2 linked regions of the Cricetulus griseus genome follow. The protein of the gene in region 1 purifies or fractionates together with the protein of each later gene. This does not show direct contact. Links are inferred from orthologs where the notes say so. Each region holds a gene or a part of one and is shown in the gene's direction. Other genes may lie near its edges. The genes, in order: G6pd and Hars1.

The links.
Region 2: the proteins of G6pd (region 1) and Hars1 fractionate together in Homo sapiens (co-fractionation; 3 studies listed by BioGRID). This does not show direct contact. The link is inferred for Cricetulus griseus from reciprocal best matches to the Homo sapiens genes G6PD and HARS1.

The regions. Positions count from the first base shown.
Region 1 is NC_048604.1:1,292,005-1,296,514, forward strand, and holds the start of G6pd (glucose-6-phosphate 1-dehydrogenase), read left to right. Parts: upstream 1-1,495; 5' UTR 1,496-1,622; intron 1,623-2,151; 5' UTR 2,152-2,159; coding exon 2,160-2,279; intron 2,280-4,510. Other genes in the region: Ikbkg (NF-kappa-B essential modulator), read right to left, coding at 1,290-1,292. UniProt on the Homo sapiens protein: Catalyzes the rate-limiting step of the oxidative pentose-phosphate pathway, which represents a route for the dissimilation of carbohydrates besides glycolysis.
Region 2 is NC_048595.1:200,746,611-200,751,027, forward strand, and holds the start of Hars1 (histidine--tRNA ligase, cytoplasmic), read left to right. Parts: upstream 1-1,346; 5' UTR 1,347-1,417; coding exon 1,418-1,507; intron 1,508-1,746; coding exon 1,747-1,836; intron 1,837-4,417. Other genes in the region: Hars2 (histidine--tRNA ligase, mitochondrial), read right to left, coding at 990-1,100. UniProt on the Homo sapiens protein: Catalyzes the ATP-dependent ligation of histidine to the 3'-end of its cognate tRNA, via the formation of an aminoacyl-adenylate intermediate (His-AMP). Plays a role in axon guidance.

The DNA.
Region 1 (4,510 bases):
TGATAGAGACAACTAAGAAATGTGTACATGGAACTTACTATGTTAATATTTCTACTTTTGTACATTTTTAAAGTTTTCAGTAATAAAAGGCTGACAGCACTATCATCCTTCACATGGATTACTGCAATAATCTCTTTACAGATCACCATGCTTTCTTCCCTTGCCTTTTACAATCAATTGACCCCACTGGGACCAGTTACATCAAAGATAACTTTGACTGTTTCTCCCTTTTATCGTGAACCCTTCAAAAACAAAGGCAAAGTCGGTACACTTGAAAAAGCTGAGGCAGGAGAATCTTGTGCTCGTGGTCTGCCTGGCCTACATTTCGAGATGCTGTTTCAGAAAACAAAGTTTCATCAACAGAAAAATGTCTGTGAACTAAGAGTTCTAGCACTTGGGGCCAAGCCCTTAGGCGACAGATAAGCAGAGGGAAGGACAGAAATCAGTCCAAGTAAGCTGGGTCGCGAATCTGCACTTCTTGAATAAATGCTCTAAAAAGCATTCGAAAGCATGCAACAGAACAAACTGGGCCCAAGGTGGGGGGAAGGGGGCTCAGGAGCCTCGGAAGCTGCATAATGGCCACCGATGGAGCCCTATCTTTGGAGAAGAGGACTACACCTGTCAGCAGAGTCGGCCAGAAGTGAAGAGGGCCTGAGCAGCGGAACCCGACCTCTCAGATTGAATCGGAGCTCTCAGAAAGTCCTGGTTGGGCGGTCACCCTTCCCTTCTCGGCTGTGGAAACCCCTGCTTCCGGCTTCCGGTGTCGTAAGTGTGGGATCCGGAAGTAAAACACAGACTCGAAGTCGAGGAGATTAACTGGAGCTGCGAAGCCACAATAGTGCTGCATCCCACTCTGAAGAGAAGCCTCAGACCGCCAGCCTGCATTGGCTAACCGAAGAGCGCAACGCTCTTCACTGATAAAGATCACACACACACTCACACACACACACACTTACACACTTTTTTTTTTTTGATACAGGGTCTCTCTCCTAGCTATCCAGATCTACCTGCCTCTGCTTCCCGGGTGCTTGGAATTAAAGGCGTGTGTCACCTCGCCCACAGTTGTCCCCACCCCATTTTCAAGGCGTCGCATTCGCAATGAAACACCCCAGTTTTAGTCTGGTTCTGTCACTGGGCTCTCTGCCACCAGGTCCCTACCATGGAAAAAGCCTAGAAGAAGCTGCTAAAGGACGCCAAACCGATTGCAAGGGGAGGCGTGGCTATGCTGCTAACGGAAGTGGGGTCATCCAGGAGTGCGCAGGGACTCGAGGGTCCATCGGAAAACAGACCATAAAGTATGGCTGGGGTAGCGATGGGGACGCAGGAGAACTGTGCGGAGCTGTATCTGTGCCAGCAAAGCATCACGATCGCGGAGCAGGAAAGCAGGGACGGCCAACAGGGTGGGGCTGACAAGGGATGCGTGCGCACCTACTTCTGCTACTCTCCCCTCCCTCACCGATGGAGTAGTCCGAAGCTCCTCCTCTCCTGCCTCTCCTGAGGCGGGTCAGCTCAGTCAAAGCACCCGCCCTCCTGCGTTAAACGAGCCAGCTAAGCGCAGCCCCCGGAAACGAGCTGTGCACTCCAGAACTGTAAACCTGTTTGGCAGCAGCAACTAAACACAGGTAAAGGGGGTGGTCTGATAGCACACCGGTGGAGGGATGTGCTTCCCGCTTATGAGCCGCGTGTCCCTTTGATGAGCGCTATTTGTTATGCTTGGATATGGAAAAAGATCTACGAGGTCTTAACCCATCCCATTGTACCCCGCACTTCCCCGCATTAGGCCCATGAGGACTAGACTTTTAGAAGAGAAGGGTCTTTCTGGGATCATTTAGCTTGGCCAGCAGAGAGCTGGGGCTGAACTCCATCATCTGCACAATGAAAAGATGCTCAGTTCATTGTGGCGTTTCTGGCAGAGACTGGAGTGCGATGGCCCCAGACACAGTGCGATGCTCTGACCGCGTCGCTTTCCCAGAGTGGATTCCCTAGCTGAATTCCATTAATGCTTATAGAGATTTCGTAATGTACAGCCCCCAGAGAAGACAACATAGGATATGGCTGGAGCCCAGAAGCAGCAGTTTCTGATTCTGATAAGGTTAAGTTGTCAATGCTCTTCTGTTCTCCTGCCTTATCAATGAGTCTTTCTTCCACCAGAAAACACCATGGCAGAGCAGGTGGCCCTGAGCCGGACCCAGGTGTGTGGCATCCTGAGGGAAGAGTTGTACCAGGGTGATGCCTTCCACCAAGCTGATACACATATATTTATCATCATGGGTGCATCGGTGAGTCTCCCCTCAGGCCCTGAGTGTAAAAAAATCAAATGTAGCATTTTGCAAGGCACTTCTCTCTCTTTACCTGAACTTTCCCAACTGACTGCTAAGGGGCCACACAGGTTCTAATTTGAACTCACGGCATATGTTCCCACCTGTGTGTCCTGATCATCACAGCAGTCAGTACCTGCTGTACATCATGTACTTCTGTCAAATTTCTCATTTGCAAGGCTTTTCAGAAATCTATGTTCAGCCATTAAATGTGGGCCAGACTTGGAGCATGCAAGTTCTAAAGCACCATCTACTTGAACTTCTTCCTCCTGGATGGAAAAAAAAAAACTGAGGTGCAACCAGGAAGTGCTATTCAGTCTATATGTTTTCCAAATCTGTAATTTGACAAATGTTACAGTTGCTTTCAGTGAAAGGATCTGAGGTCCTGCCTCTGCCTCTTTTCTCTCTATTGCATGAAGTTCCCTGGAGGCAAACACCTACTCTTTACCACATCTTCCAGAGCCTACTGCAGATTTCTGTTGATTCCACCTGGTTCCCAGTTGTCTAACTAAAACAACTACCAATATGCTCTGTTAGGAAAAACTGAAGAACAGAAGCGTAGTCAGAGGGGTGGTGTGATGATGGTACACAGTGAGACTGGGGCAGGTGGGGCACCCTCTCATGTGCTTTGTGGAAGCAGGGCATGTTCAGTGACCAGGGTTTTGTGGAAAAGGTAAACTCAATTGCTTGCTTTTAACCCTAGAATCTGATCACCCTCGTGTTACCATCTTCACTATTAACTTATTGTGTAACCTTGAGCAAGAACTTCACTAGAGCTAATGTGTTATTGAGAGGGTAGCCACTACTAGCTCAGCACCTTGCACACTTTGGGCCCCTCAGTGCTGGGTGAACTCTGTGGTTCTTTGTTCATACAGAGCATTGCCACCCACTAAGGGTTAGGGCTGTAGCTCAGTGGTAAAGTACTAGGCTCTTATGCATGAGGCCCTAAGTTCAATTCCCGGTACTATCAAAAAAGAGGAAATCAGAACATGCCACCCCCTTTGCCAGACGTGTTCTTTGTCAGCCTTGTATTTCAGAGCAAAAGTGGAGTGAGAAAACTTAGAAAAGGAATGCAGAAACAGAGGAGAAGGGCTCAGCCACTGAAAGGGCAAGGGAGAGACACCCCCAAGGCACTGTCCCCTAACTCCCTATAACTGTAAGACCCAACAGAGGTACCCAGTTGGAACACACAGTACAGCAGTCCTACCCTCAGCCGTAGCACCAGCCTAGTCCCCTTAAAGGAGCCATGCATACATGTATCAACTACAAACCTTAGCATATAGGACTCTGACTATTAGGTCCTTCAGTCTAAATGACCACCTGGAAGAGAAAGTAACTAAGGATGATTTCCCCTGCCCCACCCATGCTTTTATAAGCTTGCAACAATAATAATCTAAACATCAAAGATAGTTTACAACTGGCAGACCTGAACTCTTAGATACCTCATTGATAGCTTGTTGTGTGACCTGGAACAAATGTCTCCATTTCTCTGAACATTAGTAGTCTTCATCTAACAAACAAGGGCCAGACAGCCTCTGGCTTTATCCTAGACTAATTATGTGAGTTCTAGCCTGAAATTGAGCAACTTCATTTCACTGCAATCGGTATGGTTCCCCTTTGCTCTCCTCTGCTCTGGAGTGAGAACTGAGGCTTCCAGAATAGAAATGTGAACTGCTAGCTCCAGCAGAAAGGAGTGGGGAAGAAAGAGAAGTTTGCTGAAGATCATCATTTTTTTTTCTCTGTTCTTCTCAGAGGGCCTGAGACAAATAGACCCTGTGCCGGGACAGCCCCCAGAATATCTCTTGCCTGACACTTTACTGAATGCATGAGGCAGGCAAAGTGCTGATCTAGGATACCTGCAAGTTCTCCATTCATTCAATGTAGCAATCAAGTGTCTCCTCCAATCCACAACAGCCTCAGTCCCTAGCCTCATGGGGACAGTGTCTTTTGGGAGCAAGCAAACCAACAGGATTTTAGGCAGCTGTATGTGACAGAAGTCACAAATGGTCTCTTGTGTACTAAGACCCCTGCAGCACACAGGTCCCAAGTGGACCTAGAAAGCAAGGCTGGTTGAGGATTAGAGGGCAATTGTCCTCTAAATTGGGAACAAGCTCAGTGTGATCTAGAAACTAAAAGGAATCCAGTGGCTGCCAGGCCCCAAGCCTAGGAAACTGGAACACACCAGGACAAGT
Region 2 (4,417 bases), on another chromosome or scaffold:
TAAAATGAATAAAAGATCTGAACCCTGTTGAGCATGACAGTAAAAAGCATCTGCTTTCAGAGAGAGGTGACAGCCACTAACTCAGTGTTAGTGAAATTGGCTTGTGGGTAATGGTGCGAGACACTTATCGTGACCACCTAAATTCAATCCCCATACCCTACAAGTGAAGAAAAGAACAGAAATGTGCCATGGCACACCAATGCCCACACACATTAATAGATAAATGTACTTGGAAAAAAAAAAAAAAAAAAGAATCAGGCTTCCAGAAATACAAATGGTGGTAATTCCATACTCTGGAGAGTCCCTAAAGAGAAGTGTGAGTTCAAGTCCATAACTCTTTATTCTAATTACAAAATTCAACTGTCGCTGAAAATGTTTCTCTGAGATTCATTTTAGGGTAAATTTGTTGATGTGTATTAACTCAGTTTATTTATGGCTTGGGAGACTATATAGATCTGGCTCAAATTCTAACATGTTCAAGAATTTCAGATGACTGAGAGTAAACCTCATTATAATATTTAGTTGCTTTGTATCCCTGTAAGTCATTTAATCCTGTGGTCTCCGCTTACTCAACTGTAAAAATGGAGATAAAACCCGCAACCTCTGAGAGTGCTCCAATAACAAAATGACAAAAGCATCCAAAACTCTTAGTTCAGTGCAGGTACAAAGTGGCTAATCAATAAAAACCAATTTCAGGGCTGGAGATACGGATCTTTTAGAGGATCTGGGTTCATCACCAGCAACCACATGGTGGCTCACCACCGCCTGTAACTCCAGTCTCAGGAGATCCGACGCCACTTCCGATCTCTGCTGACACGAGGCGCGTACGCAGTGCACACATACAGGTACGCAAAATACCCATACACATAAAAGAAACAGACCTTTAAAAAGTAAAAACCAATTGTAACAATACAATATAGGCTGCAAATCTAAGTTTTCAGGCAGGGGGCTCCTCCGGGAATCGGCGGAGCCGGCTCAGGGTGGCTCACCTGGCTGTGACAGCCTGCGGCCCGGATGCACAGAGCGCGCGGAGGTCGCAGGGGCTGGCGGAGCAGCGCAGCCCAGGCGCCGCAGCGCAGGGGCCCCAGGTGGGACATCATGCAGCAGGACACCGGGCTTCCTGAAGAGGAGCCAATGGCCTGGGAACGAGGCCAGCCCAACCTCAGAAAGGCGACAGAGAGCTGAAGAGCCTAGCACCAGCTCTGGAAAACACCTGAGATCGGAGTTAGTCCGGGTTGGGAAGGGGGTGGAAATGAACTCCAAATATCTCACGCTCCCTGAACCGGAAATGCTTGTGCTCTCGCTAGAGACGTTCTAGGCACGAAAGCCGGTGACTCGATAGCCGGAAGTCATCCGAACGTAGGCTAGGTCTACCAAGGCGGGGTTAGACAGCAGGCTGTTCCGTTTGGCAGCCAGGATGGCAGATCGTGCTGCGCTGGAGGAGTTGGTGCGACTCCAGGGAGAGCATGTGAGGGGCCTCAAACAGCAGAAAGCCTCCGCTGACCAGGTGCGACTCAGATGGAAGGAGAGGGGCCGGACAAAACCAGAGGAACACAGATGGTGGTCTGGCTGGAGGACAGGCATGTCAATGAAGAGACTAGGCTGGTAGAATGAAAGGGGCTGAGTTCGAGAAGGTAGCCAGGGTGGGTCCCGAGAGAAGCGAGGCTAGACCTAAGAGAGAGGAGTGTCGAGTAGGAGGGAGGGGAGTGACAAATGGACAATGCAGTGGCGTTTTTCCCTCCACAGATCGAGGAGGAGGTGGCGAAACTCCTAAAACTGAAGGCACAGCTGGGCCATGATGAAGGCAAACAGAAGTTTGTGCTCAAAACCCCCAAGGTAAACTATTCCTGTGAGAGGCCTTAGAGGGAGGTCCTGTTCACAATCGGTAATATTGCAAAGGAGTCAGTAGTTGGTGTAGGCACTGGGCTGGATTGATCTCAACCTGAGTCATTCGGTGATGACAGAAACAAGGCGGCTCAGCGGAGTCAGCCTGCTAACTGCTACTCATTGCATTCATTACATACACATTGAGTAGGTCTGTGTGTGTGGTACTGTACATTGAATATATACCATACTGGACGCCTGTCTTTGTGATGCTTGATCCCACTGAGACAGATATTTAAGACAATAATTCCACCCAGGGCTATGCAATTACAAAATATAACTGGTGATATGAAGAACGTTATGGCTGGAGAGATGGCTCGGCAGTTAGGGGAGTGCAGAGAATTCAAATTTGAGTCCCTGCACCTACATCAGGTGACTCACAATTGTCTGTAACTCCAACTCCAGGGGGATCTGATGCCTCTGGCCTCAGTAGGCACCTACACCTATACGTTCACATAACATACGTTCACCTATAATCATAACATAGATACACATACACCCACATGTATAAAAGTAATAAAGAAACTTTTAAAAAGAAAGTTACAGAGATGCTCTGAGAAAAATAAGGGGTAGCTGGGGAATCTGAGAAGCCACACTTAAGAAAGTGATATACTGATGTACCTCTCAAGTGGGTAGGACATAGCCAGGGAAAGACTTAGGATAATAGGCTCAGTAGAGTATGGAAACCCTGAAGCAGAAAAGAGCTTTGATATTTACTAGGAACCAGAAGAAGACCTGCACAAATAGAACCAAATAAGGTCAGAGATGCTGAGCTCAGCCTCAGAGCTTCAGTTCTGATGCTGTTCTGTAAGTTCTATAAACAGAACACTGCACCTTCATTGGTTTCTCTTGGCACTTCATATATAGATAGCTCTGTCATTGCACTGATTTTTAATTTTCACTTAGTGTGTGTGTGTGTGTGTGTGTGTGTGTGTGTGTGTGTGTGTGTGTAACTGCAGAAGCCAGGAGAGGATGTCAGATTCCCTGAAGCTGGAGTTACAGGCAGTTGTGAGCCATAGTACCGAAAATTGAACTAATGTCCTCTGGAAGAGCATCGAGTGTGCTTACTTGCTAAGCCATCACTCCTGACCTCTGCAACAACTTTTTAGTGGTTCATGAAGTTTGTTTAGCAGAAGCTAAGACTGAGTGCCTAGAAATAAACATTTATCTAATGAATATATTTTAAGTTGATTTTCAAAGAAGAGAGAAGCCATGTGTGGTGATACACATTCTTTAATCCCAGTACCCAGTAAGCAGAGACAGGCAGATATCTATGAGTTTAGTGATGTTAAGACAGATCATTGTGTTTAAATAAAGAAGGGCTGATCTATCACAAACTCCCCATTTTCTACTTTATTCAATAGCTTCAATCTGAGATTTTATTATATTGAGACAGGGTATCTCTACGAAGCTCTGGCTATGTGGGCCTGTGTGTCCTTGTGTGAGGGGGCAGCTGGAGTTACAGGCAGTTATAAGCTGCCCAGCCTAGGTGCTAGGGACCGAAGTCAGGACAGACTTCGGTGTACAAGTTCCAGGTCAGTGAGGACTACCTGGTAAGAAAATAAGGCCTTGTGTCCAAAAGGTGGGGGAGGGGTGGAGATGGCTGGTATGATTAATTCTTCTGTGTTGAGGTTAATTCTTTCAGCCAAATTCATTTAAGCTGTGCTTTTCTATGCATAAAAAAAAAAACAAAAAAAAACAAACAAAAAAAAAAACCGCAAGTCTGGCCAGCCTCAGACTTGCTATATAACAGAGGTTGGTTTTGAAATTCTGATCCTCAGGTCTCCACCTAACAGGTGCTAGAATTACAGGCATGTTCTACCACCCACACATCCCACATAATTCTTTTTCAAAGGTTGAAGAGAAATTTAAAAATCTCAAAGAAATGGGGGCTGGAGAGATGGCTCAGTATTAAGGGTGCTTGTTGGTGGTCATCTAGAAACCTGAGCTAGGTTCTCAGCACCCACATATAGCAGCTCACACTTCTCTAATACCAGCTGGCCTCCAAGGACAACCACACACATGGCATTAAAGAAATAATAATCAATAATTGCTGGGGGGGGCTTAATGTCTCTGTGTCAATAAAGCAGAAGAACAGACATGTTTCTGTTGATATGATACCATAAAAAGTACACATCACTGTCGATGAGTTCTTGTTAGGGGAATTTGAATCTATTAAGGCCTTCAGACTAAGGTGGAGCTATGCAAAGTAGAGAACAGGTTAAATGGCATATCAGTAGTATTGTTGACTGAGTCCAGAATGTGAAAAACTTTTTAGGACAAATTATCCAGTTTTTTCAACAAATAAATAACATAGAGGGACAGGAATAAGAGTGTGGCTCAGTGTTATAAGGCCTGGGATCTAAACCAGACAACACAAAAGAAGAAAAAAAGGAAAAATGAGAAAGCTGTTTGTGATTAAATTGACATGTCCTCTAAATATAATATGTTTAGAATATGGTTAAGATAATCATAAAAAGATATTAGTGAGATAATTGGGGAAAGTTGAACACACTTGGTATTGGATAGTATT